Canis lupus familiaris: one gene and its partners. The protein of the gene in region 1 interacts with the protein of each later gene in a biochemical or structural test. Links are inferred from orthologs where the notes say so. Each region holds a gene or a part of one and is shown on either strand. Other genes may lie near its edges. The genes, in order: pre-mRNA-processing factor 40 homolog A, U2AF2 and MECP2.

The links.
Region 2: the proteins of pre-mRNA-processing factor 40 homolog A (region 1) and U2AF2 form a complex in vitro, tested with the Homo sapiens proteins (2 studies listed by BioGRID). The link is inferred for Canis lupus familiaris from reciprocal best matches to the Homo sapiens genes PRPF40A and U2AF2.
Region 3: the proteins of pre-mRNA-processing factor 40 homolog A (region 1) and MECP2 form a complex in vitro, tested with the Homo sapiens proteins (2 studies listed by BioGRID, with this or other methods). The link is inferred for Canis lupus familiaris from reciprocal best matches to the Homo sapiens genes PRPF40A and MECP2.

What each region holds. Positions count from the first base shown.
Region 1 is NC_049240.1:55,429,473-55,437,156, reverse strand, and holds part of pre-mRNA-processing factor 40 homolog A, read left to right. Parts: intron 1-1,428; coding exon 1,429-1,453; intron 1,454-2,112; coding exon 2,113-2,487; intron 2,488-7,684.
Region 2 is NC_049222.1:102,842,420-102,850,103, forward strand, and holds part of U2AF2 (splicing factor U2AF 65 kDa subunit), read right to left. Parts: intron 2,938-7,684; coding exon 2,858-2,937; intron 2,776-2,857; coding exon 2,653-2,775; intron 2,388-2,652; coding exon 2,289-2,387; intron 2,081-2,288; coding exon 1,832-2,080; intron 1-1,831. UniProt on the Homo sapiens protein: Plays a role in pre-mRNA splicing and 3'-end processing. By recruiting PRPF19 and the PRP19C/Prp19 complex/NTC/Nineteen complex to the RNA polymerase II C-terminal domain (CTD), and thereby pre-mRNA, may couple transcription to splicing.
Region 3 is NC_049260.1:123,058,650-123,066,948, reverse strand, and holds MECP2 (methyl-CpG-binding protein 2), read left to right. Parts: upstream 1-3,387; 5' UTR 3,388-3,640; coding exon 3,641-3,738; intron 3,739-5,327; coding exon 5,328-6,411; 3' UTR 6,412-6,544; downstream 6,545-8,299. UniProt on the Homo sapiens protein: Chromosomal protein that binds to methylated DNA. It can bind specifically to a single methyl-CpG pair. It is not influenced by sequences flanking the methyl-CpGs.

The DNA of each region.
Region 1 (7,684 bases):
GTAAATTTTAAAATTATACTTTGATTTAAAAAATTAATTTACCATTGGAAAATTGAATAAGGGCATCATGTACAGTATTTATAAATACAGCTGTTGAGACATACATATAATATGTGACTTCACCCATGTAGCAGATAGCAGAGAGCCTTTGAGTTCAGTTTAAAATTTTAATATATTATCAGACTATGCATTTAATGCTGATTTTATTTTAACACAACATTGCAAATTAGCTTTTATGTTTGTTATAGGAGGAGTTTTAAAAATACCATGCTTCACTTACAAAGGGAGTATTTTTCATTATCCTTAACTATTCAAAATACCCCTGAAAATTGGGAAATACTACTTAATATAAAACCCAGTTCTTCAAATAGAGATTAGAGTGAAAATTGAGAATTCAGTTCTTTTACTCTCACTTTTGAAATAGAATCTGGTGTCATTAATTATCAACTTAGCAGTAATTGCTTAAGTAAAATGCTTAGAAGCATTTTAAGAAATGGAGCCAGTAAATTAGTCATCAGTGTGGAATGACATCTGACAGTGAAGAGAATAAAAATTTCCTAAAGGCACTATGGTCTTAAGTCTACTTACCTTTTTCCTGTGTCACGTAATTAGCTTGGATCATCATTGTATCTGAAAAATATGTTAATTTATGTTAGTAATGATGACTCCTATAGTATGTTTTGTCAGACGTCCTAAACCTGCTTTCTGAAATGATTTCCATTAAAGGGGGATAAGTTTTTTAAGTACTTTGATAAAGTTCAGCTTTGTTACCAATTATGTGGACCATCTCATTCCCTAATGATGCTGAATATTTTTGTTACTCATAAAAAAAAATTAATTGGAATGGAAGCTGAAATACTGAATGCAAGTCTTTAAAGCTCTTTAAATTTCTATACTAGCATTGGCTAATAATAATGTAGATAGGTAGATTCCCATTTTATTCATGTAAAAAATATCAAGCTCATTTCTGATATAACCCTACTACAAGATAGTTGGTGTGCATAACTATCTATCTACCTGTCAATGCTAGTATATATGTGCTGGAATTTCATAATATGAATTTGGTCTCATTTTGAATTTGGTACCTTTAAAATGATCAAATAGTTTAACCCCCCAGAGAAAATGCTGTTTTATTCCAGAATTATACAGATATTCTGAGTTCTGCAATAGCCAATAGCCTTTGGGAAAGTAGCAGTGTGCAGAGAAACTTTACTAAAAACTGCTGTCATTTAAATTTGTCTTCATTCTTTAATTGCTGTCCTGGAACTTTGGAGCAAGCATTTGCTCTGAAAAAGTTTGGGTTTTTTGGATGGTAAATTAAAATCTTACTGTATGAGAAACTTCTCCTTATCTCCCTTTAAAGTTTGTTTTCATTGATTGTATTTAAAAACCATGTCATAGGTAACTGTTCTTTTTTCTCTTTAATAGCAATGATCAAAGCCGAAGAAAGCAGGTAAGCCGTTTTGGACATCAGTACAATTTACAAATTTGGGATCTCCAATATGTAACATTCTTGTTTTAAATATTTGCTTTATAGTGTAAATAATATTTACCATGTTCAGTCTGATGGTGTGATATCTTTGGAGGATTTGGGGTAGGGAAAAGAATATTTACCAAGATATATACAAAGGACAGTTTGCTAGATGGTAATTATTGGAATTTGGATTACATCCTTTGAATTAAGAAGCCTGTGTTACAGAAAAGTCCAAAGTTTGGTTTGATTTAATTCCTGTATCCAGGTGTTCTTTGAATATATGAAGTGGATAAAATTTAAAGTTCATATAGAAATTAATGATATAGGACAAATTTTATGGTATGTAATACAATGTGATAGTAGGGCATTTTGTGATTGAAAACGATTGTTGGACTTCCGGAAGTGCAGATTGTTGCATGAGTCCCTATGCTATATTATCCTGGATGTTTGCTCAGTTAAGTTGAAGTAATCCAGTTTCATTGTTTTTAGTCTTCTCAGATAGCTTAATAGTTTGTCACATTGCCTTTCTCTCTTTTATAAATCTTATTCATTTGATTTTATGATAGACTATATTGTATGGCTTTCTGATTATTAACGAGATGACCAGTTTGTTGTTGTTGTTATTTTTTAATATATAGTAAGCAAGAAGAGTGCACCACAACATCAACAGCCCCGGTTCCTACAACAGAAATTCCGACCACCATGAGCACCATGGCTGCTGCAGAAGCCGCTGCCGCTGTTGTTGCTGCAGCCGCAGCTGCTGCTGCTGCTGCGGCTGCAGCCAATGCCAGTGCTTCCACCTCTGCTTCAAATACTGTTGGTGGAACTGGTCCAGTTGTTCCTGAGCCTGAGGTTACTTCAATTGTTGCTACCGTTGTAGATAACGAGAATACAGTGACGATTTCAACTGAAGAACAAGCACAACTTACTAGTACTCCTGCTGTTCAGGATCAGAGTATGGAAGTATCCAGTAATACTGGAGAAGAAGCAGCTAAGCAAGAAACTGTATCCGAGTAAGTTCAGTGACTTGTCTTTTGCAAAATTAAGACTTCATTAATGGAAGAAATTTTGAGTTTACTTGATAGCCATTGAGTGTTTAAAATTTTTTTGAGAATCAAAACATGAACCTTTAGATAATCATTACCAAGGCTGAATTTTGTGGGCTCATGGTCTTAAATTCTTGAAAAACTATTCCTCAGTTTTATAAACCAGACTTCAGAGACACAGGGCGAGGGACAAATTAAAGAGGAGTTCCAAGCACCTTAGCAATCAAGATATGTCAGTTACCGTGCAGCAATTTTAAATTTTAAGTCAAAACTAATGCAGAAAAGCCCATGATTATTAAAATAACAAAATTTTAAATAGAGACAGGATTAGTATTATTAATTATTTTGCAACAGGCTCAAGTATGACTTAGCACAACTCTGCAAGGAAGTGCTATAGTTTGATGTTGAACAAATAGAAGCAAAGATTAGGTAGACAAAAATAAAGATTTACTACGGTGTAAGAAAACTGTTTAGTAGGGTGTAATTAAATTGGTATAACTTTTTAATGACAAAATAGCTGTATCTGTCAATCTGTAGTTTACATGTGCGTGTATTCTGTATCATCTGGTCATATTTCCTATGGCTGTGCTTTATATAGATATAAAAAGTAACCTTGAGCTATGCTTCTTGACTTTAATGTCCACATATATTTTTTAAATAACTGTTAACTGTGATGTCACATTCCATACATGATCACCCATCTTCTTAATATTTAAACATTGATTTCATCTCCCAACTTCTTGTTAAATATTCTTTTTTATTTTATGTACAGCTCCCAAAGTGAAAATAGCTTTAAATTTTTTTCTGATGCTTAGAAGTTGAAAAAGGAATCTACATGGTATATTTGAAAGCACAACAGTAACATTTTTATGTATTTCCTTGTGCCCTTTTTTACGTTTTATTTCATCTTTTAAGGATTTATTTATCTGAGAGAGAGAGAGCATACACACTTGTGTGGGGGAGGAGGGCAGGGGGAGAAGGAAAGCAGACTTACCCTCTTAGCGCAGAGCCCAACATGGGGACTTCATCTCAGGATCCTGAGATCATAAAGCAAGAGTTGGATGCTCAACCAGCTAAACCACTGAGGCACCTGTTTTGTTTTTTTTTTTAATAATGTCTGCAGTCATCCTGGAGCTCCAACTCACAATCCCAATATAAAGAGTCGGTTATTGGTCTGTTTAGGTTTTCTGTCCTTCCTGTTTCAGTTTTGGTAGTTTATAAGTTTCTAGTCCATCCATTTCTTCCAGATTGCCTAATTTTTTGGCATATAGTTGCTCATATGTTCTTAAAATCATTTGTATTTCCTTGGTGTCGCTCATGAACTCTTTCATTCATGATTTTATTAATTTGGGTTTTTTCTCTTTTCCTTTTGATCAGTCTGGCTAGGGCTTTATCTGCCTTATTAATTCTTTCAGAGAACCACCTCCTAGTTTCATTGATCTGTTTTACTGTTCTCTTGGCTTCTATTTTGTTAAATTATGCTCTGATGTTTATTATTTCTCTTCTCTCTTAGGCTTTATTTGCTGTGCTTTCTCCAGATCCTTTAGGTGAAAGGTTAGCTTGTGTTTTTGAGATTTTTCTAGTCTTTTGAAAGAGGCTTGTAATGAAATATGCTTCCTTTTAGGACTGCCTTTGCCATATCCAAGGTTTTAAACAGTTGTATTTTCATTTTTGTTAGTTTGCATGAATCTTTTTAAGTCTTGAATTTCCTGGTTGACCCATTCATTCTTTAGTAGGATGCTTTTTAACCTCCAAGTGTTAGAGTTCCTAACAAATTTCCTCCTGTGATTTGAGTTTTTCAAAGCAGTGTGGTCTGAAAATATGTAGGGAATAATCCCAATCTTTTAGTATTGGTTGAGACCCGATTTGTGACCCACCCAGTATGTGATCTATTCTGGAGAAAGTTCCATGTGCAGTCGAGAAGAATGTGTGTTCTGTTGCAATAGGATGGAATATTCTGTGATTATCTGTGAAGTCCATCTGGTTGAGTGTGTTATTCAAAGCCCTTGTTTCTTTGTTGATCTTCTGCTTTGATCTGTCTATTGCTGTGAGTGGGTTGTGGAAGTGTATTATTATTTATTTGTTTCTTTACTTTGGTTAGTAATTGGTTGGTATTATTGGCTGCTCCCGAATTAGCATAAATATTTATAATCGATAGATCTTGCTGAGTAGGCCCTTTAAGTATGATATAGTGTCCGTCTCCATCTCTTACTACAGTCTTTGGTTTAAAATCTAATTTATCTAGTATGAAGATTGCTATCCCAGCTTTCTTTTGAGGTCTATTTGCATAGTAAATGGTTCTCCATCCCCTCATTTTCAGTCTGAAGGTGTCATTAGGTCTAAAATGAGTCCCTTGTAGACAGCATATGGATGGGTCTTGGTTGCTTTTTTTTTTTTTTTTTTTTTTTTTAATTTATTCATGAGAGACACAGACTTGAGAGAGAAGAGAGGCAGAGACACAAGCAGAGGGAGAAGCAGGCTCCATGCAGGGAGCCTGATGTTGGGACTTGATCCCGGGACTCCAGGATCACACCCTGGACCGAAGGCAGGCGCTAAACCACTGAGCCACCCAGGAATCCCCGGGTCTTGTTTTTTAATCCAATCTGATACCATTTACTAATGGACTAAAAATCATAAGATACCTACGAATAAACCTAACTAAAGAGGTAAAGGATCTGTATTGTAAAAACTACAGAACACTTATGGAAGAAATTAAGGAAGACACAAAGAGATGGAAAAACATTCCATGCTCATGGATTGGAAGAGTAAATATTGTTAAAATGTCTATGCTGCCCGGAGCAATCTACACATTTGATGGAATCTCTATCAAAATACCAATGACATTTTTCACAGAGCTGAAACAAATAATCCCTCAGATTTGTTTGGAACCAGGAAAGACCCCAAAAAGCCAGAGGAATGTTGGAAAAGAATGCCAGAGTTGGGAGCATCTTAATGCCTTACAAAGCTGTGATCAAGACAGCATGGTACTGCATGAAAACAGACACATAGGTCAGTGGAACAGAATAGACAACCCAGAAATGGACTTCGAACTCTATTAGTCAACTAATCTTTTGACCAAGTAGGCAAGAATATTCAATGGAAAAAAATAAACAGTCTCTTTAGTAAACAGTACTGGGAAAGTTGGACAGCCACATGCAGGAAAATGAAACTAGACCAATCTCTTACACCATACACAAAGATAAACTCAAAATGGTTGAAAGACCTAATGTGAGACAGGAATCCATTAAAATTCTAGAGAAGAACACAGGCAGCAACTTTTTTGACCTCGATGACAGCAACTTCTTGCAATACCCATCTCTAAAGGCAAGCGAAGCAAAAGCAAAAATGAACTTTTAGGACTTCATCAAGATATAAAGCTTCTGCACAGCAGAGGAAGCAGTCAACAAAACTAAAAGGCAGGCTGTGAAATGGGAGAAGATATTTGCAAATGACAGTTAAGGGGCTAATACCCAAGATCTATAAAGAACTTTAAAACACCCAAAAAACAAATAATCCCGTCAAGAAATGGGCAGAAGACATGAACAGACATTTCTCCAAAGAAGGCATACTGATGGCCAACAGACACATGAAAAATTGCTCAACATCACTTGGCATCAGGGAAATACAAATCAAAACTTCAATGAGATACCACCTCACACCAGTCAGAATGGCTAAAACTAACAAGTCAGGAAATGACCTTTTGAGGAGGATATGGAGAAGAAGGAATCCTTTTATTACACTGTTGGTGGCAAGCTGGTGTAAAACCACTCTGGAAAACCGTATGGAGGTTCCTCAAAAAGTTAAAAATAGAGCTACCCTATGACCCAGCAATTGCACTATTATCTACCCCAGAGATACAAATGGAGTAAAAGTGCACCCCAATGCTCATAGCAGCAGTGTCTGCAATAGCCATAGTGTAGAAGGAGCTGAGATGTCCTTCAACAGAAGAATGGGTGAAGGAAAGGTGGTGTGTGTGTGTGTGTGTGTGTGTGTGTGTGTATTATATATATAATATATATAATAATATACACATTAATGCACAATAATATATATTATATATATATAATATACACAATGGAATATCACTTGACCATCAGAAGGGATGAATACCTACCATTTACATCAACATAGATGGGACTGGAGGGTAATTAAGTAAAATAAGTCAATCACAGAAAGACAATTACATGGTTTCCCTCATATGTAGAATATAAGCAATAGTGGAGAGGGAGGGAGGACTACAAGGGAAGGGAGGGAAAACTGGGGAAAAAAGTCAGGGAGGGAGACAAAGCATGAGAGACTATTAACTCTGGGAAACAAACTGGGGGTTGCTGTAGTGGAGAGGTAGGTGGGGGATGGAGTAACTGGGTCAAGGACATTAAGGAAGGCACGTGATGTGATGAGCACGGAGTGTTATACACAACTGATGAATTACTGACCACTACATCTAAAACTAATGATGTACTATATATTGGCTAATTGAATTTAAATTAAAAAAAGATACATACTCCAGCATGTTGAATGATTATTAATTACATATATGTAAATTTCAGTGTTCTGATAGACATTGAAAGTTTTGGGATGGTATTTTATATATCCTTTTATACTTTTTTTTTTAAAGATTTTATTTATTCATGAGAGACACACAGAGAGGGGCAGAGACATAGGCAGAGAGAGAAGCAGGCTCCCTGTGGATCGACCGGACCCCAGGATCATGTCCTGAGCCAAAGGCAGATGTCCAATCGCTGAGCCACCCAGGCATCCCTATACTTTTATTTTTTTCTACAATAATTTGTTTTTCGTAATTTCAGCAACAATTACTTTCTGCTTATTTTCTTTCTAGTATTTCCTTCTAGTACCTGAATCGTCATAAACTTTTTAATTTCTGCAACATATACCATTTACAGGTGGTAATTTTTGACTGGGCCCTTTATACTATTTCTGATAATTTTGAATAAATTTCCCAAAGTAAGGTTACTTGACTCAGAGGGTATGAATATATTTTGTGTAGTTGTTCCATTTAATATTTGCTCCATTCTCTTCCCCTAAGCATTCTGGTTCTTTTTTTTTTTTTCCTGCGTTATTTTACCTTTATATAGGAAGAGATGTTAGTAGTATATGATCTTTTCATTTTATAAAGACCCCCAAACTAGTGCAGTTGGTAATT
Region 2 (7,684 bases), on another chromosome or scaffold:
TCAGGAAAAATGAAGTTGGGAAATTAAGAATGACAAGTGAAGCTGGATGATGGGACACGACGATACTACTCTATGTGCCACAATGGAACTAAAGTGACCTACCATAGTAGGTCAGTGTGGTACTTCTACTTTTATGTATGTTTGAAAAGAAAGACAAAGTTTACAAACAAAACAGGAGGATCTCCGACACCAGGCCGGTCTTCCCATTCATCCTTCCCACAAATACTGACTCAGCCCCTCAGGAGCCAGGATCCATCCCAGCGCCCATGAGGCATGAGGGGAGCGGGTGCTTCCATCACACCACATACACCACACCAGTGAGGACTGGGAAGCAGAGCACGGGAGGAGAGAGAGGAAATGCTGCTCATCCCTTCATCACCCCCCCCCCAACCCTGTCCCTTGGTACCTGGCTCTCTTTCCACTGCTCCCTGGGCAATCCTATCCAGCTGACACCAAAATGAGGATCAGTGTGTTGATGACATCTGTTTCTATCAGAAATGTTTCCCTCATGCCTGGAATGCAGCTCCGTCCTCACTGCTTCACACATCTCTAATGAGGTGTCTCAGGACCTCAGACTGACAGCCCACTCTTCCCCAACACTGACCCCCACCCCCCACCCCCAAACCTGCTCATCTCCCTTGCTTCTCACCTGCCATCTCCACCTAGCTGCCAAAGCCCAGGAATCTGAGCATCTTGACTCCTCTTCCCCCTCCCAAATCAACCACCAGGATCTGGGTGTTTACAGGTAACGTGTCTTTCAAATCCATGGACTGACTTCTCTCCATCCTCTGCTGCTACTTTCCATCAAGTCACCATCTTCCGACCAAGTGACCATAAGCTGTTAGTTCCCAAAGTTCCAGGTCATACCACCACCACCTCTACCCCCCTCTGAATTCCCTGCCTGCAGAACCCAGCTCTGCAGGACTGGAGTAAGACCTGGACCTCCCTGTAATTCCTGTCCACGCCTACTTGATTATGAGGAACTCTATGTGCAAGGCAACAGACCACATTCCTGAACTTTCAAAGGCTTCCTTCTCACTTCAAGAACACCCAACATTCTTCCAGGACCCACACAGGCCTACAAGATCTGCCACACTAGGCCCCAGCTCCCAACCTCAGAACTCATCTCCCACTGCTCTCTGCTTAGACTATGCCAGCCTTGTCACCATCCCCAAACACACCAGGCTCATAACCCAGGAGATCTATGTTCATTGGGTTCCCTGCTCAGGACCCTACTACCTGGGATAACCTATTATCACTTGGGCCTGGTTAATATCAACTCTTAACCTTGACTAAGAGGTGTCTATTCCTGTCTAAGAACAGCATCCAGAGCAGAGCAATTCTACTCCCTTTCCAGCTACTATCACACATGTTGTCTTTGACAAGGCTGGCCCCAGGACTTGTTCTGCTTGAAGGCCTGAATCACTAGGTGAGCGGCTAGGGAAAGCTAAGTCACCCACTCTTCCCTGCCTCTCAAGAAGGGTTCAAGGTGCTGACACCTAGCACAGTGCCAGAAGTGACAGGACCCAGTGGGCTGTGGAATCAGACCATGTGGCCTGCATCCTCTGAGCAAGGGCTAAGAGAGCTGCCATGAGAGTTCATGTTGCAAAGGTTAAGCTCAGGGAGTACCTGGCACCCAGAAGACTCGAGTGGGTTTGCTGCTGTTCTGTTTTTAGCACTTTTCTCCCCACTTACAGACAAGACCGAACCACATATGTAAGATCACATGACAAAGCCAAGCTGTGAAGCACAGCTGCAAGACCACACTCCTGGGGGACCCTATACCCATGTGAGTCATAGCACTGGTGTGTACCCATGCACACATGCACACCTTTCCACAGCCGGGCACCTCGACGCCATCCACAGGCCGGGGGATCTCAATGGACTTGACAAGCCCATACTTGCTGCACTCATCTCGCACATCCTCCACAATCTCCTCATACTCCTCATCGTCTAGCAGCTCCTCGGGCAGCACCATGTTCATGAGGCACAGGACCTCCGTTGGGTGGCCGCCCATCTGTACCTGGGAGCTCATGAGGCCCGGCACTTGCAGGGTCACGGGGGTCTGGTTGATGGTGCTCTGTGGGGAGAAGGGGGGAGGGCAGGGCTGTCACGGCCAGGGCCACACCGAACCCCCAGAGGCCTACCCAGAGAATCACGTCCGCCCCTGAAGGCCCAGGAAAGCCAGGGCTGGAGCCGAAGCTTCTGAGGATCTGCTCCCAGCATCCCCCAGGCCACCCCGCCCCGCCCCTCCCCAGTATCCCTCTAGCCAATGGAAGATGACGTGCCGGGGGGCTCACCAGCGTGGCATTCTTGGCTCCCACACTTGCCCTCTGCACGAGCAATTTCTTATCTCCCAGCTGCATCCCATTCAGCCCCGCAATAGCCTGTGTGCGGAGGACAAGGGGGGGGGTGCAGCAGAAAGGTGCGGGTCAGGTGCAGGACTTGACGCCTCCCACCAAGCCCCAATACCCCAGAGCTGGGCACTGGTGGTGAGAGGAAAGGCCAAAGAGTGAGCACCTGGCAGGAGCCGGAACCAAGGGGAAGGGGCCCAGTCCCCCACACAGGACCCTACCTAAGCTGGCCTCCTCCCACCCATCCCCAGGAGGGCGACTTGGGAGTGGACACAGCAGGGCAGGGGCCCGGGCTCACCTGATCCGTAACGTTGATGTCCACGTACTCACAGAAGGCGTAGCCCTTGGAGAGCCCTGTGGCGCTGTCCTTGACCAGGTTGAAGGCCTTGAGAGGCCCAAACGACGTCAGCAGCTCTTTGACCTGCGGCAGGGCCGCAACTCCGTCAGGGCTGGTTGAGGTAAAGAGTGGGAGGGGAGAAGCCAGAAGGAGGCGAGGGATCTACCTGGTCGTCGTTCAGGTAATTGGGTAAGCCCCCGATGAACAGCTTGTGGGCAGAGTCCGGGACCACGGTGGACACAACTCCTGGGGGGAAGGGGAGTACATAGGCTTTGGTTTCCAGCACAGGGTCTTTAACCAAGACCCCGGGGTGTGTGCACAGGGCCTGGCCCATTATATCAGCCAAGGTGGCCCAGCAACGCTGACAAAACCACGGTCTCCCAAACCTATCCAGACCCTAAGACTCACACTAGCAGCTCTTCTTCGGATGTGCCACGACACCAGGGTGGCACCACAGCGAGGGTCCCCACTAAGGGGCCACACCTCAAACCTGCCAACCACAAGTCCTGGCAGCACTCGCCCTTACTGGTAAGACATCAGGATGACACACCTACACCCCCTCCGTCTTTCAGATCACAACCCCAATGCCATTCCTACCACCCAGACGTTTACATCAGGTCTCCCGTTGAGACCCTTGGTCCTTCTCTCTGTGGTCCCGAGCTTTTTGCAACCACAAAAACCCAGCAACTCCCTCTTTGGCCTGCTGCTCTGGGTCTGCGAAGGCAGGGACATGCCCAGTCGACTCAGCTTGCTGACCTCAGGGACATCACAGTGGGCTCATGTTTGTCGGCTGAATGGTTTAATGACTACTCTGCATCCACCCCAATCTTGCCATATCCACTCAATTTTGGATTCAGACACAAGTGCCTGCCAGGTGGCTCAGCCTGTTGTCCACTGGCTTCAAAAGCATGTCGTTTAATTCCCAGGGGCCTCCTGTGAGGTGTGAGCTACCCAGAGCCCCAGATCACTATCAGGGCTCATTGGAAGAGAAACACCACTGGTCAGGCCCGACCAGTTCCTGACTTTCCAAAGGCCAGAGCCCACTACCAAAAGCAGCATGGCCCGGCCCACCTCAGCAGTCCACACCAAGCAGCCCCTCCACACTTCTTCCTGACCTAGCTAGGGTCGGACAGGTGAAATGAAAGATGGCAGAAAGCATCAGACACTGAGTGACTGGACACAAAAAAGAGTGCATTTTCTCCTGACACCACCCCAGCCACTTCAACCAGAGCTAAGCACCATCAGAGTGGGGCCTGTGGGGGGGTGGGCAGACCATGAAGATCCAGCGTGTCCAAGGTAGGCTACGCAGAGGCCACAGGCCAGACACCACAGGTAAATTCATGAAGTCTACTATCCGTGCTCTCCAAAGCCCTATCCAGACAGGATAAACTGAGGCAGAGAAAGTTGGTTCTATCTTGGAGTCACACACACAGAAAGAGGGGTCCCCAAGCCCATAACACCTGTGCCTCCCACAGGCAGCTCTCGGCAAGCTAGGGACTTTACACAGGTACCAAAGCTCTGAACGATGGCTGACTAGGCAAAGCAGAGATTCCATCACCCCAGTAGGGAGTAGTGGCAGAGCCAGATGACCCTCAGCCAGCTGGCCTTGGCTGCTATCTGCTGTGCCATCCACTCCAGGGAAGCATGCAGAGCTTAGGGCACCAGGGTCAGACTCCCTGGGTTCAAATCTGGGGTACAGCACCAAGTGAGGCTCTATGTGTTCGCATCTATGACACAGGAGGATGAGGATGACCCACATGGGGCGTACACCTGAAATAGGGCCTGAGACCAGAGCTATAAATGACTGCAGACCCTGAGTGAACGACGGTTCTGAAGCAGGGGACTATTATCGTACAGAGTCACACAGCCAGAAAATGGGGATACCAATCAATCCCAGTGCCCAAAATCAAGCCCCTGGCAACATCCGCTCCCAATAGGATGGGCAGGGCAGCCCGGGTGGCTCAGTGGTTTCGTGCCACCTTCAACCCGGGGCCTGATCCTGGAGAACTGGGATCGGGTCCCACATTGGGCTCCCTGCATGGAGCCTGCTTCCTCTGCCTGTGTGTCTGCCTCTATCTATGTCTCATGAATAAATAAATAAAATCTTAAGAAAAAAAAAAAAAGGATGGACAGGCTCCTCCTCCCTGACCACACATCCACTCCTTCAGAGGGTCCACCTGGCACACACCTCCTCTCTGAAGGCCACACTAGACCCCCAAAGGCTGAGCAATCTTTCCCTGTGCCTAGAATACCACTTTCTCCTACCATGCACTCACCACCAGACCAGGCAGAATAGGACTCTGCCAAGGGAGTGGGTATAAGGGAGTGGGTACATGGGGGTGAGGCCCCAGTGGCAGGAGCCTGATGAGGGGGCGGGGGGGGGGGGGGGATTAGGACTCGGCCCTGCACGGGGAAGGGAGCCTGGCATGGCAGTGGGCGGGTGCTCACAGCTGAGCTGAACTCACACTGAATAACTACTGGGCTCCCCTGCTTCCAAAGACAGCTCTGGCCCACCCCCCACCTCAGTCTCCCTCTTGTCTTCAAAGAACCACCAGGATCCTGTCACCAGCACTCAACAGCAAGGCCTGACTTCAGGGGCAGATGAACTCAAGATTTCACAACCCCAAGTGATGCATGTTTAATCAACACATTTCCATCAAGGTCAGAAAGTTGCCTTCCAGGTTCCTGAACTGTTTCTCTTCCAGCCAAGAACATCTGCTAAATTTTATCACACATGCTTTCCTCTTTAGCCTCCTTGTATAATAAAATTGTTTTTTTTTTTAAACCAAAAAATGAAGACTGAAATATGAACTTCGCTATGAAAAGGTAACTAGAAGATGCTCAATCTACAAGCACAATCACACTTCCTGCCACCTGCCCAGGCACTAGTACTGCAGACCCTCAGGTCCCTCTGGGTGAGCAAATCCCAAAGAACAGAGATGGATGATGACCCACGCTTCAGCTGCTTAGTCACGCCAATAGTTACGTCTAGAAAGGGGCCCATGAATCTGGGAAGACGATCCAATACAAGCTATCCCTGACCCGCGAGGTCTCTGTTCCCACACGGTAAAGGGCCTGTGTCAGAAGGTGCTATGGAAGACCGCACAGCACCAACTCTAGAGACCATTATCATGCCTTGCCTTGCTCTCCTCCGGTCTGAAACAGGATCGCGGTACACACAACAGTGGCTGGCAAGCCTCTCACCAAAGAGCTGGGTGGCAAACATTTTCAGTTTGTGGGCCACGGGGTCTCTCATCCAAACTGACCGCTGCTGCAGAAAAGTCATACAGACGCTAGACAACGAGTGGACTCGGCTCTGTGCCAGTTAATCTTTATTTAAAAAAATGGGCAAGGGGCACCTGGCTGGCTCAGAAGGTGGAGCACATGCCTTTTGCTGAAGTACATGGAGTACAGTGAGTACATGAGTACACACCGGACGCAGAGCCCACTTTAGGAAAACAGGCTTACTGGTAAGCTACATTTGACCCCTAGCTGTCAGTTGCAGACTTTGTACTACACAGCTGTCACAAAAACTAACCTGATCCATGGACCCCACTCGGCAAAGTGCCTGACATAGTAAGCTTCGACAAGTAAGCAGGCTCCTTATATAATTAAAAACATCTTAAGAAGGGATCCCTGGGTGGCTCAGCAGTTTGGCGCCTGCCTTTGGCCCAGGGCACAATCCTGGAGTCCCGGGATCGAGTCCCATGTCAGGCTCCCGGCATGGAGCCTGCTTTTCCCTCCTCCTGTGTCTCTGCCTCTTTCTCTATCACAAATAAAAATAAATAAATAAATCTTTAAAAAAAAAAAAAAAAAATCTTAACACCTGGGTGGGGGCAGCCCTTGGTGGCGCAGAGGTTTAGCGCTGCCTGCAGCCTGGGGTGTGATCCTGGGGACCCTGGATCGAGTCCCACATCAGGCTCCCTGCATGGAGCCTGCTTCTCCCTCTCCCTGTGCCTCTGCCCCTCTCACTGTGTCTCTATGAATAAATAAATAAAATCTTTATAAAAAGAAAAAAAAAAAAAGAACACCTGGGTGGCTCAGTGATTGAGCATCCACCTTCAGCTCAAGTCGTGATCCCAGGGTCCTGGGAGTGAGTCTCAGGGAGGTTGCTTCTCCCTCTGCCTGTCTCTACCACTCTCCCTCTCTCATGAATAAATGAATAAAACCCTTAAAAAAATAAACCTTAAAACACTAAATTTATTTTGCACAGGGGCGCCTGGCTGACTCCCATCAGTTAGGTACCAACTCTTGATTCTGGCTCAGGTGTCATGATCTTGCAGTTGTGGGACCGAGCCCACAGTCAGGCTCTGCCCTCAGTGTGGAGTCTGCTCCAGATTTCGCCCCACATCCAACCCCACCTGCGCACATGTGCACGCTTTCTCTAAAGTAAACTCTTAAAAAGAGATTCACTTTAATACAAAGCAACGGCCTATAACTTCATCTAGAAATGCTCTCACAGACGTGCACCCACACAGAAATCATCTGATCAAACACTTAGTACATGTCAACATCGAAAAATACGCCTCAGTTACCGGAAACATTAGATCCACCAAACTTACCAAATTTATTACGGTGGAAAACACTGGAAACAAGGCAGGGAACCAGCACCCAGTCCTGAGGTGTCACCCTCTCTGGGACTCCATGTCCCCCGCTTTGTCAGCAGTGGACTCGATTTCTAAAAGGTGTCCTTCAGGGCGAAGCCTCAGCCAGCAGAAACCCACCTTCTGCTCCTCCCCCCCACCCCCTGGCCCAGACCATCCATGCCTACCACCTTTACTGGGAGAACACCAGGGACCTAAGATCCAGGCCCCCCAGTTCCACCACAGCACTGGCTTCTCCAAGCCCACTTTGCTCCCTGCACTCCAACAGGGCCTCCCAGAGGCACAAATCCTCACTTTCACCCATCTCACCACAGGGGACGGCAACCAGCCTGTAAGTCGAGTTAAGCCGGCTGTCTTTTTGTATAGCCTGCAAGGTTTTTTAGAAGCTA
Region 3 (8,299 bases), on another chromosome or scaffold:
AAAATATTACAGATTGAATTAAAGGCCCTTTTATTCTTCATCTTAGGTGCTATTAAAAATTCATTTGTTAGACACTTAGGGTTTAAAAGGCAAATTTTGTTATGAATGTTTTATCACAATGAAAAACTTAAAAAAAAAAAAAAAAACCAAAACAGTTCATTCAGGCCCAAGTCAAACTCTGAGCGCAGCTGGGTCTCCTCTGTGGCTAGTATCAAAAAACTATGTTCTTCTCTCCTTGAACTTCTAGCCATGGATGTGGCTATAACCCCCATGTGTTCCTGGCCCAGGCTTTCCTGTCCTCAGTGGTACCACCATCCTTCCAGGCATTGGTGATAGTGCTTAACTCATCCCATCCCCTCACCCACACCAGGCTTTCCTCAGCTCTGTCACTCTACCTCCTGGTCATTTCCCAAATCCTCCACTGTCCCCACCCTGGGCCATGGGAGACCACTGAAGAGGCTTCTCACAGGTGCCCCCTGATTTCCACACAGCAAGTAGTGATCCTTTAAAGATAAGAGCTCTTGTCCCTTCCCCTGCCCAAGACTCCCCAGTAGCAATCTGACAAAGCCCTCCACATCCCCCTTGAGGCCGCTCTGCTGCCCAGAACCACCTTCTGGCACACAGCTGCATGATTCACCCCTTGCTTCTTGTAGGATTTTCTCTCTTTTCTCCCTCATTGTGATCCAGTCAGTTTGTTCTTTCAGATACTCACCTTGTCATGGTGTCATCTAGTGCAAGGAGTCCTTTTAGCCACCTCCTATGTCCTTTGACTTTCCCCTCCTCTGTCCAAGCACTCCCCTGCCTTTCTGCCCTCACAGGCCACCGTAGAACCACAACCACCCACTTCTCCCAGGGCCAGCCTGGTTCCCTCCATGGATGCTGGACATGTTCCCTAACCCTGGGTGCCATATCAGGCCTTAAAATATGTCCCACCAAGGATATGCAGAGCAGTGTGGTCAGAGGTATTTGAAATAAATTTTCTCTTTGGTGTGGTATCAGTTTGATACATGGTTCAGTTTGTTTGTGTTTGCATTCAATACAGTAGGGTTTTGGTACTGTTTACTTTCTCATTTTGGTTATGTAAACTTTTATATGATTCAGAGAGGTCTTGCCTTGCGCCTATACCTTAGCTCGTTCCCACCCATCCTGGGACTAGGAAGTACTTCTTCCCTTGTTTCTCACGTGAAAGGCATCCTGTGATCTGTAGGAGATCCAGAGGTGCTCCTTCTCAGCCCTCTCAGGCTGCATGGCTCTCCATGCTATAGGCATGGCATCGTCCATTCAGTACGTCTTTGTTGGTAGCTCTATGAGTTGTATGCAGTACTGGGTCAGGAAAAATGATGCCGTTAACAAATAATATCATAGACTTAACTGTTTGGCATTTCTGGGGGTGTGTCTTTTTAGGGTAGAGTTCTAGAAGGGATTGACCTTGATGGCATCGACACCCTTGATTGTATCTAAGAGGCATTCCTGGGATATGTGGTTTGTACTTGACCTCATGGATGGTTAAACTATTTGGGGAATATAAATGAGTGTTCTGGAGAAACCAAACCTTTCCCATGGGTGCAGTGTTGTCTGCCGACTCCAGGACTATCCAGGTTCCAGGGAGTAGCCCTGGCCTTCAGCGGTGGCCCGTGGACTGTGTGGGAGTGGTCATTCCAGTTCATCTGCCACTCTGCTGCTGGCAAGCTCCCCTTCTCCCCTCTGTGTTGGGGGACTACAGGCTATAGGCCACACCAAGCTTCTCAGGATTCTTCCTCAATTCCTGCTGAAAGGCTAATAAGACTGTGATAATTGAAAACTAAGCTCTGTGCTGCAACAGATTAGAGACCCTCACTTTACAGCAAGAGAAGATCTCCTGTGGGCCGTGGGCTAAATCAGGGTCACCATGGCAGCCATGCTTTAGAGTCCTGAGCTGCTAAAGGATGACCCAGGATAGGGAGGAACTCAGGGACAAGCCTGTCTCCCAACCCCTGACCTGAGCTGTTCAGAAAAGGCATGTTCTCATGGTGCCAAGAGTCCTGATACTAACCCACCTTTGGCAGCTTACTGACATCATTTGAGTCTGGTTTCCAGTACATACCACAGTGCCTCCATTGGAGTCTCCACAGTGTGAACAAGGGGGTTGCTTGGGGTAGACTGGCCATGAGGCAGTGACCAGTGCTGACACGAGCCACATGGGACAGGGCAGCTCTAGGGCTTAGATATCAAGGGCAGGAATAGTCTCATTCTCTTCTAGACTGAATTGCTGAGAGACCAGCAGATGGCTGGTTCCAAGCCTCCCCAGCGTGGGTGGTGTTCCTGCCCTCTTAGCCCTGCTTTAAGAACACCACGGGCGGACTGATTCCAGGGTCCAGGGCCTTTCCAGTGCACACAAGGAAGGGACCCTACCAGGTGGAGCCAAAATAGCAGGAAGGAGCTGCTCTGTCAGTGTGAAAGCATAAGGAGGTGCCCACCCTGGAGTGGGGAGGGTGCTCTTCTGTGCCTTTGTCCTTGCTCTCCCCTTCTACTGGTTGAGTGTAAGGCAGTCATGGCTTGTAAAGGAATGTCTGATAATAAAAGTTTAGCAGACCTGGGGTGCCTTCTCCTCACTCCAGAACCCTGGGCAGCAGTTTCTGGTTGCCCGAGTTGGCTAGTGTTTATATGGTGCTTTTGTGACTTTTCTTCCTCTGGGGTGTTGGTGCCTATTACCAAGATGAGGAAACTAAGGCACGGAATGTTGAGGTCACTTGCTCAGGTCCATGTTTAGAAGTTGCCAAGTCAGAATTTGAGCTCAGGTTGGGCTGGCTCCAAACCTGTGTGTTTTCTCCACAGCACTGTGCTGTGCCTTATCTCCCAAGGGGGTAGTGCTAGGCTCTGCCACCATCAGTAAGTTGCATCGTGCTCCCTGACTGTTTTATCAAGCACACATTTGAGAAAACTTACAATACAGAAGCTATACTAACACCCAAGCCAGGTCTTTCGTGAAGAGGAGCCCTGGCCACATTTTGGGTGGGCAGCTCCCTCTCCAGTAGTCAAGGGCCTCTTGTCAGCCATGAAGTCTAGAGACTGTTGGGCACAGCTTGTAAAGTGGCCTCTTCCGAGGCAGTACACTGAGAAGCCACCTAGTGTTTCTACCCAGAAAAATGCCGCTCATTCTCCTGCTTGTTAGGAGTGGGACTTGGGACAGAAGGACTCAGAGTGGTCACAGTGCAGGTAGGGTAAAGCCCAAAGCCCCCAAAGAAATCTTTGAAGGAGAAAGGCATCAGGATCTGGGTGAGCATCGGTGGGGCAGCCCTGTCTCTCAGAGCCCTGCCTGTGCTGGGGTGCCCCAAACCCGCCATTGCTTACTTTTTCTACAAATCGGTGTGTTCCCTGTGATACTTACATACTTATTTAACACTTCAGGGAAGAAAAGTCAGAAGACCAGGATCTCCAGGGCCTCAAGGACAAACCCCTGAAATTTAAAAAGGTGAAGAAAGAGAAGAAAGAAGACAAAGAGGGCAAGCATGAGCCCCTGCAGCCACCGGCTCACCACTCTGCTGAACCAGCAGAGGCAGGCAAAGCGGAGACCTCAGAAGGGTCAGGCTCAGCCCCAGCTGTCCCGGAAGCTTCTGCCTCCCCCAAACAGCGACGCTCTATCATTCGTGACCGGGGACCCATGTATGACGACCCCACTCTGCCTGAAGGTTGGACCCGAAAGCTTAAACAAAGGAAATCTGGCCGCTCCGCTGGGAAGTATGATGTGTATTTGATCAAGTAAGTAAGGGCAACTCCTGTCTCTACAAAGCAGGGAAGGCTGGGTGGGCAGGAGGCTGGGGCCAGGTGCTGAGAAACTAATGGGGATCCCTTAGAGTGGCAGCTCTTTTTTTACTCGATGATCAGGAAAATGTGTGTATATCACCCATCTTGGGCTGGGGGTGGCTTCAATAATGAACACCACTTGCAGACCCCTCCAGGTATGTTTCAAATGACTGTGTACAGAGTTCACCGCCCTGAGTGTGACTTTACCCCACCAGCCCTTGAGGTCTTGTCTGGAGATGGCATCGCAGTAGGGCCTACCCAGGGCCACAGTGAGGACACAAGAAAGAGAGGTCGCCTGAGAAACATTGAGGACACAAGGCCCTGCCCAGGCTGGTCCCAGAGGCCACAGGACCTGCCATGTGTAGTGGCCTGTGCTTGGAAGGCAAGCAGGGCTCTCTGGGTTCCTCTCATTTCCCAGCTGGGAAACATCCAGCTGATGGGCTCTTCTCAGAACCTGTTAAACAACTCTTCTTTCTGTCAGTCATTCCGTGACTTGGCTGCATGACCCAGAAGAAGTAGGAGTTCAGAGGGCTCAGTCTACTCTCTGAATCATGTTGGGAAAGGTGAGCTCTCTGACAGGGCCTCTGGGGACACATTGGTGTCTCTTCATGTGCCTTTCCAACTGTCATTGGTGCATTTGTCCAGCTTTGAGCTGGTCATTGGGCATTTTCTATTGAAACAGTGTAATTCAGGGATCCCTGGGTGGCGCAGCGGTTTGGCGCCTGCCTTTGGCAGAGGGCGCGATCTTGGAGACCCGGGATCGAATCCCACGTTGGGCTCTCAGTGCATGGAGCCTGCTTCTCCCTCTGCCTATGTCTCTGCCTCTCTCTCTCTCTCTGTGTGACTATCATAAATAAATAAAAATTTAAAAAAAAAAAAAAAAAAAAAAAAAAAAAAGAAACAGTGTAATTCCCAAGCCAGAGCTTCAGAGAAGGACTGAATAAATACATTTCAGTTCTGGCCCTTAGATGATCCAGAAAAGATAAACAGTTTATTTGCAGACATCCTCATTTGATCGCAACAACTCTGAGAAGGGTGAACAAAAAGCATTATCCTACTGACAGATGAGGAAACCGATCCCAGAGAGGCTAAGCAGCATGCCCAGGTTCAGACAGAGAGGAGTGCTTTACTTACTGACTGGGCCCAGGCACCAACCAGCAGAATGCCTGCCCCTCAGCCTTCTGGCTCAAGCGGGTCTCCAGGCCAGGCCCCTTTGGGAGCCAGAGGAGGGGCCTTGGTGGTAGGCGGATCCTCAGGGGCAATAGCTGCAGAGCAGCTGACACCCAGCTGTTCTTGTCACTGGAGCACACCCTGTGGGTGCTCTCCGCCGCCCAGCAACCCAGTTGCTTTGTGTGTGACCATGCCCCTCTAATTTCAGCCCATTTTGGCTTTTCTCTAATGTGACTCTCATTGAATAGTATCATCAGGCAGGTCAATTGCAGAACGTCCTGTCACAGAATTCAGCACATTCTTCCTGCCCCATCTTTGTACATTAGCGGGGAAGCTTCTAATCGTTCTTTGTGTCTCTCCATTTGTTCCCACAGTCCCCAGGGAAAAGCCTTTCGCTCTAAAGTGGAGTTGATTGCGTACTTCGAAAAGGTAGGCGACACCTCCCTGGACCCTAATGATTTTGACTTCACGGTAACTGGGAGAGGGAGCCCCTCCCGGCGAGAGCAGAAACCACCTAAGAAGCCCAAATCTCCCAAAGCTCCAGGAACTGGCAGAGGTCGGGGACGCCCCAAAGGGAGCGGCACTGCGAGACCCAAGGCAGCAACATCAGAGGGTGTGCAGGTGAAAAGGGTCCTGGAGAAAAGTCCCGGGAAGCTGCTCGTCAAGATGCCTTTTCAAGCTTCGCCCGGGAGCAAGGCTGAAGGGGGCGGGGCCACCACGTCAGCCCAGGTCATGGTTATCAAACGCCCAGGCCGGAAGCGAAAAGCCGAGGCTGACCCCCAGGCCATTCCCAAGAAGCGGGGCCGAAAGCCAGGCAGTGTGGTGGCAGCTGCCGCCGCAGAGGCCAAAAAGAAAGCCGTGAAGGAGTCTTCCATCCGGTCCGTGCAGGAGACTGTGCTCCCCATCAAGAAGCGCAAGACTCGGGAGACGGTCAGCATTGAGGTGAAGGAGGTGGTGAAGCCCCTGCTGGTGTCCACCCTCGGCGAGAAGAGTGGAAAGGGACTGAAGACCTGCAAGAGCCCCGGACGGAAAAGCAAGGAGAGCAGCCCGAAGGGGCGCAGCAGCAGCGCCTCCTCACCCCCCAAGAAGGAGCACCACCACCATCACCACCACTCAGAGCCCCCGAAGGCACCCGCGCCGCTGCTTCCGCCCCCGCCCCCTCCCCCACCTGAGCCCCAGAGCTCCGAGGACCCCGCCAGCCCCCCTGAGCCCCAGGACTTGAGCAGCGGCGTCTGCAAAGAGGAGAAGATGGCGAGAGGAGGCTCGCTGGAGAGCGACGGCTGCCCCAAGGAGCCAGCTAAGACTCAGCCCACGGTCGCGACCGCCGCCACGGCCGCAGACAAGTACAAACACCGAGGGGAGGGAGAGCGCAAAGACATTGTTTCATCCTCCATGCCAAGGCCAAACAGAGAGGAGCCTGTGGACAGCCGGACGCCCGTGACCGAGAGAGTTAGCTGACTTTACACAGAGCGGATTGCAAAGCAAACCAACAAGAATAAAGGCAGCTGTTGTCTCTTCTCCTTATGGGTAGGGCTCTGACAAAGCTTCCCGATTAACTGAAATAAAAAATATTTTTTTTTCTTTCAGTAAACTTAGAGTTTCGTGGCTTCAGGGTGGGAGTAGTTGGAGCATTGGGATGTTTTTCTTACCGACAAGCACAGTCAGGTTGAAGACCTAACCAGGGCCAGAAGTAGCTTTGCACTTTTCTAAACTAGGCTCCTTCAACAAGGCTTGCTGCAGATACTACTGACCAGACAAGCTGTTGACCAGGCTTCTTAGGGTATGCCTGCACCTCCCCTCCCACCCAGACCTCCCCCCACCCCCCATGTGCTCATTAGGGACAGAGAGTGGTTGAGAGGACACTCCCAGTCTCAGCTCTCCTCTCCTCCCGCCCTGCCCCACCCCCATCCCCCCAGCTCCTCCACCTTCCCCATCCCTACCCACATTGGGACAAGGAGGTGTGAGGCAGGAGAGACAGTTGGATTCTTTAGAGAAAAAGACAGAGATGGCCAGTGGCTACAGCCTGTGTGATCTCACCCATGGTGGCACAAATCTGGCCCCACGCCAGCCCCAATCCAAAACTGACTAGGACATTTCACAGGACAGGGAAGTAGTACCTGTTCACTCCAGTTCTGGCATGGCTAGGAGGGAGTCAGTCCTTTGAGCTGCTGGGTGTAGACTGGCCTGAGCCAGAGGAGAGGATGGCCGAGGGCCGTTCTCCAGTGGGTGGCGAGAGAGAGAGAGAGAGAGAGAGAGAGAGAGAGAGGCCGTGGAAGCAACGGGACAAGGCGTAGGCAGGCTGGCCCCGGGCTCCTGGGCTCCTCCGGGTGGCACAGAGCAGTGGGGCTCATGGAATTCCTAGTTGCTCAGAGCAGTCTGTGACTGGTAGGTAGAGGCCTAGTGGACAGGTTGGGGGGCCAGGGGGAAGTAGGGGAAAATGTTCTTCCAAAACTTTCCAATTCTACTCCTTTAGGGACAGCTTAGAACTATTTGCACTATTGAGTCTTCATGTTCCCACTTCAAAACAAACATGCTCTGAGAGCAAACTGGCTTGAATTGGTGACACTTTGTCCCTCAAGCCACCAGACATGACGGTGTTTAGAACTACCTGGATCTGTATATACCTGCGCTTGTTTTAAAGTGGGCTCAGCACATAGGGTTCCCACGAAGCTCCGAAACTCTAAGTGTTTGCTGCAATTTTATAAGGACTTCCTGATTGGTTTCTCTTCTGTCCTTCCATCTCTGCCTTCTTTCATCCATCCTTTCATTTCTTCCCCTCCTCGTTCATCCCTTCTGTACCAGGCACCCACAGTTCCAAGCTTTACCTGAGCTGATGCTGGTCAGCTCAGGCCCCCAGATCTCACCCTGCCCTTGGCCTTCCCACTGCCAGCCCTAGCCCCGACCCAGCCCATTCTGAGGCCTGAGGAAAACCCGGGCTCTGCTGAGTCCACCTGGCCCTAGCACCCTGGCCTCTCCGAAGGGCAAGAGAGCAGCAAGATCTTGCTCTCTGAGGGAGCTCCCTTCCCTGGTCAGACCCTGGATTCTGGGCCTTCTCGACCTTCTATCCAAGAAAAGCAAGCAGGAGAAGTTGGACAGATTTGGATTTGGAAGCTGAGGGTAGCACAGAGGCCCCCATGGCCTGCCATAGTCACCGAGTAGCCCAGCCCTGACCTTGACCTCGCCAGGCCCAGCCAGCATAGTGCAGTGCAATGGGGCGGCAGGTGGGAAGAAATGCAGACGCCCCAGACCTGAGCTGGGACGGGCACCTAGACCCCTGGCCCCTCGGCTCCTCCTATAAGTTAACCATGAGTTCTTTTCTGATGGAAAATGCCTGGCTTTTGCTTGC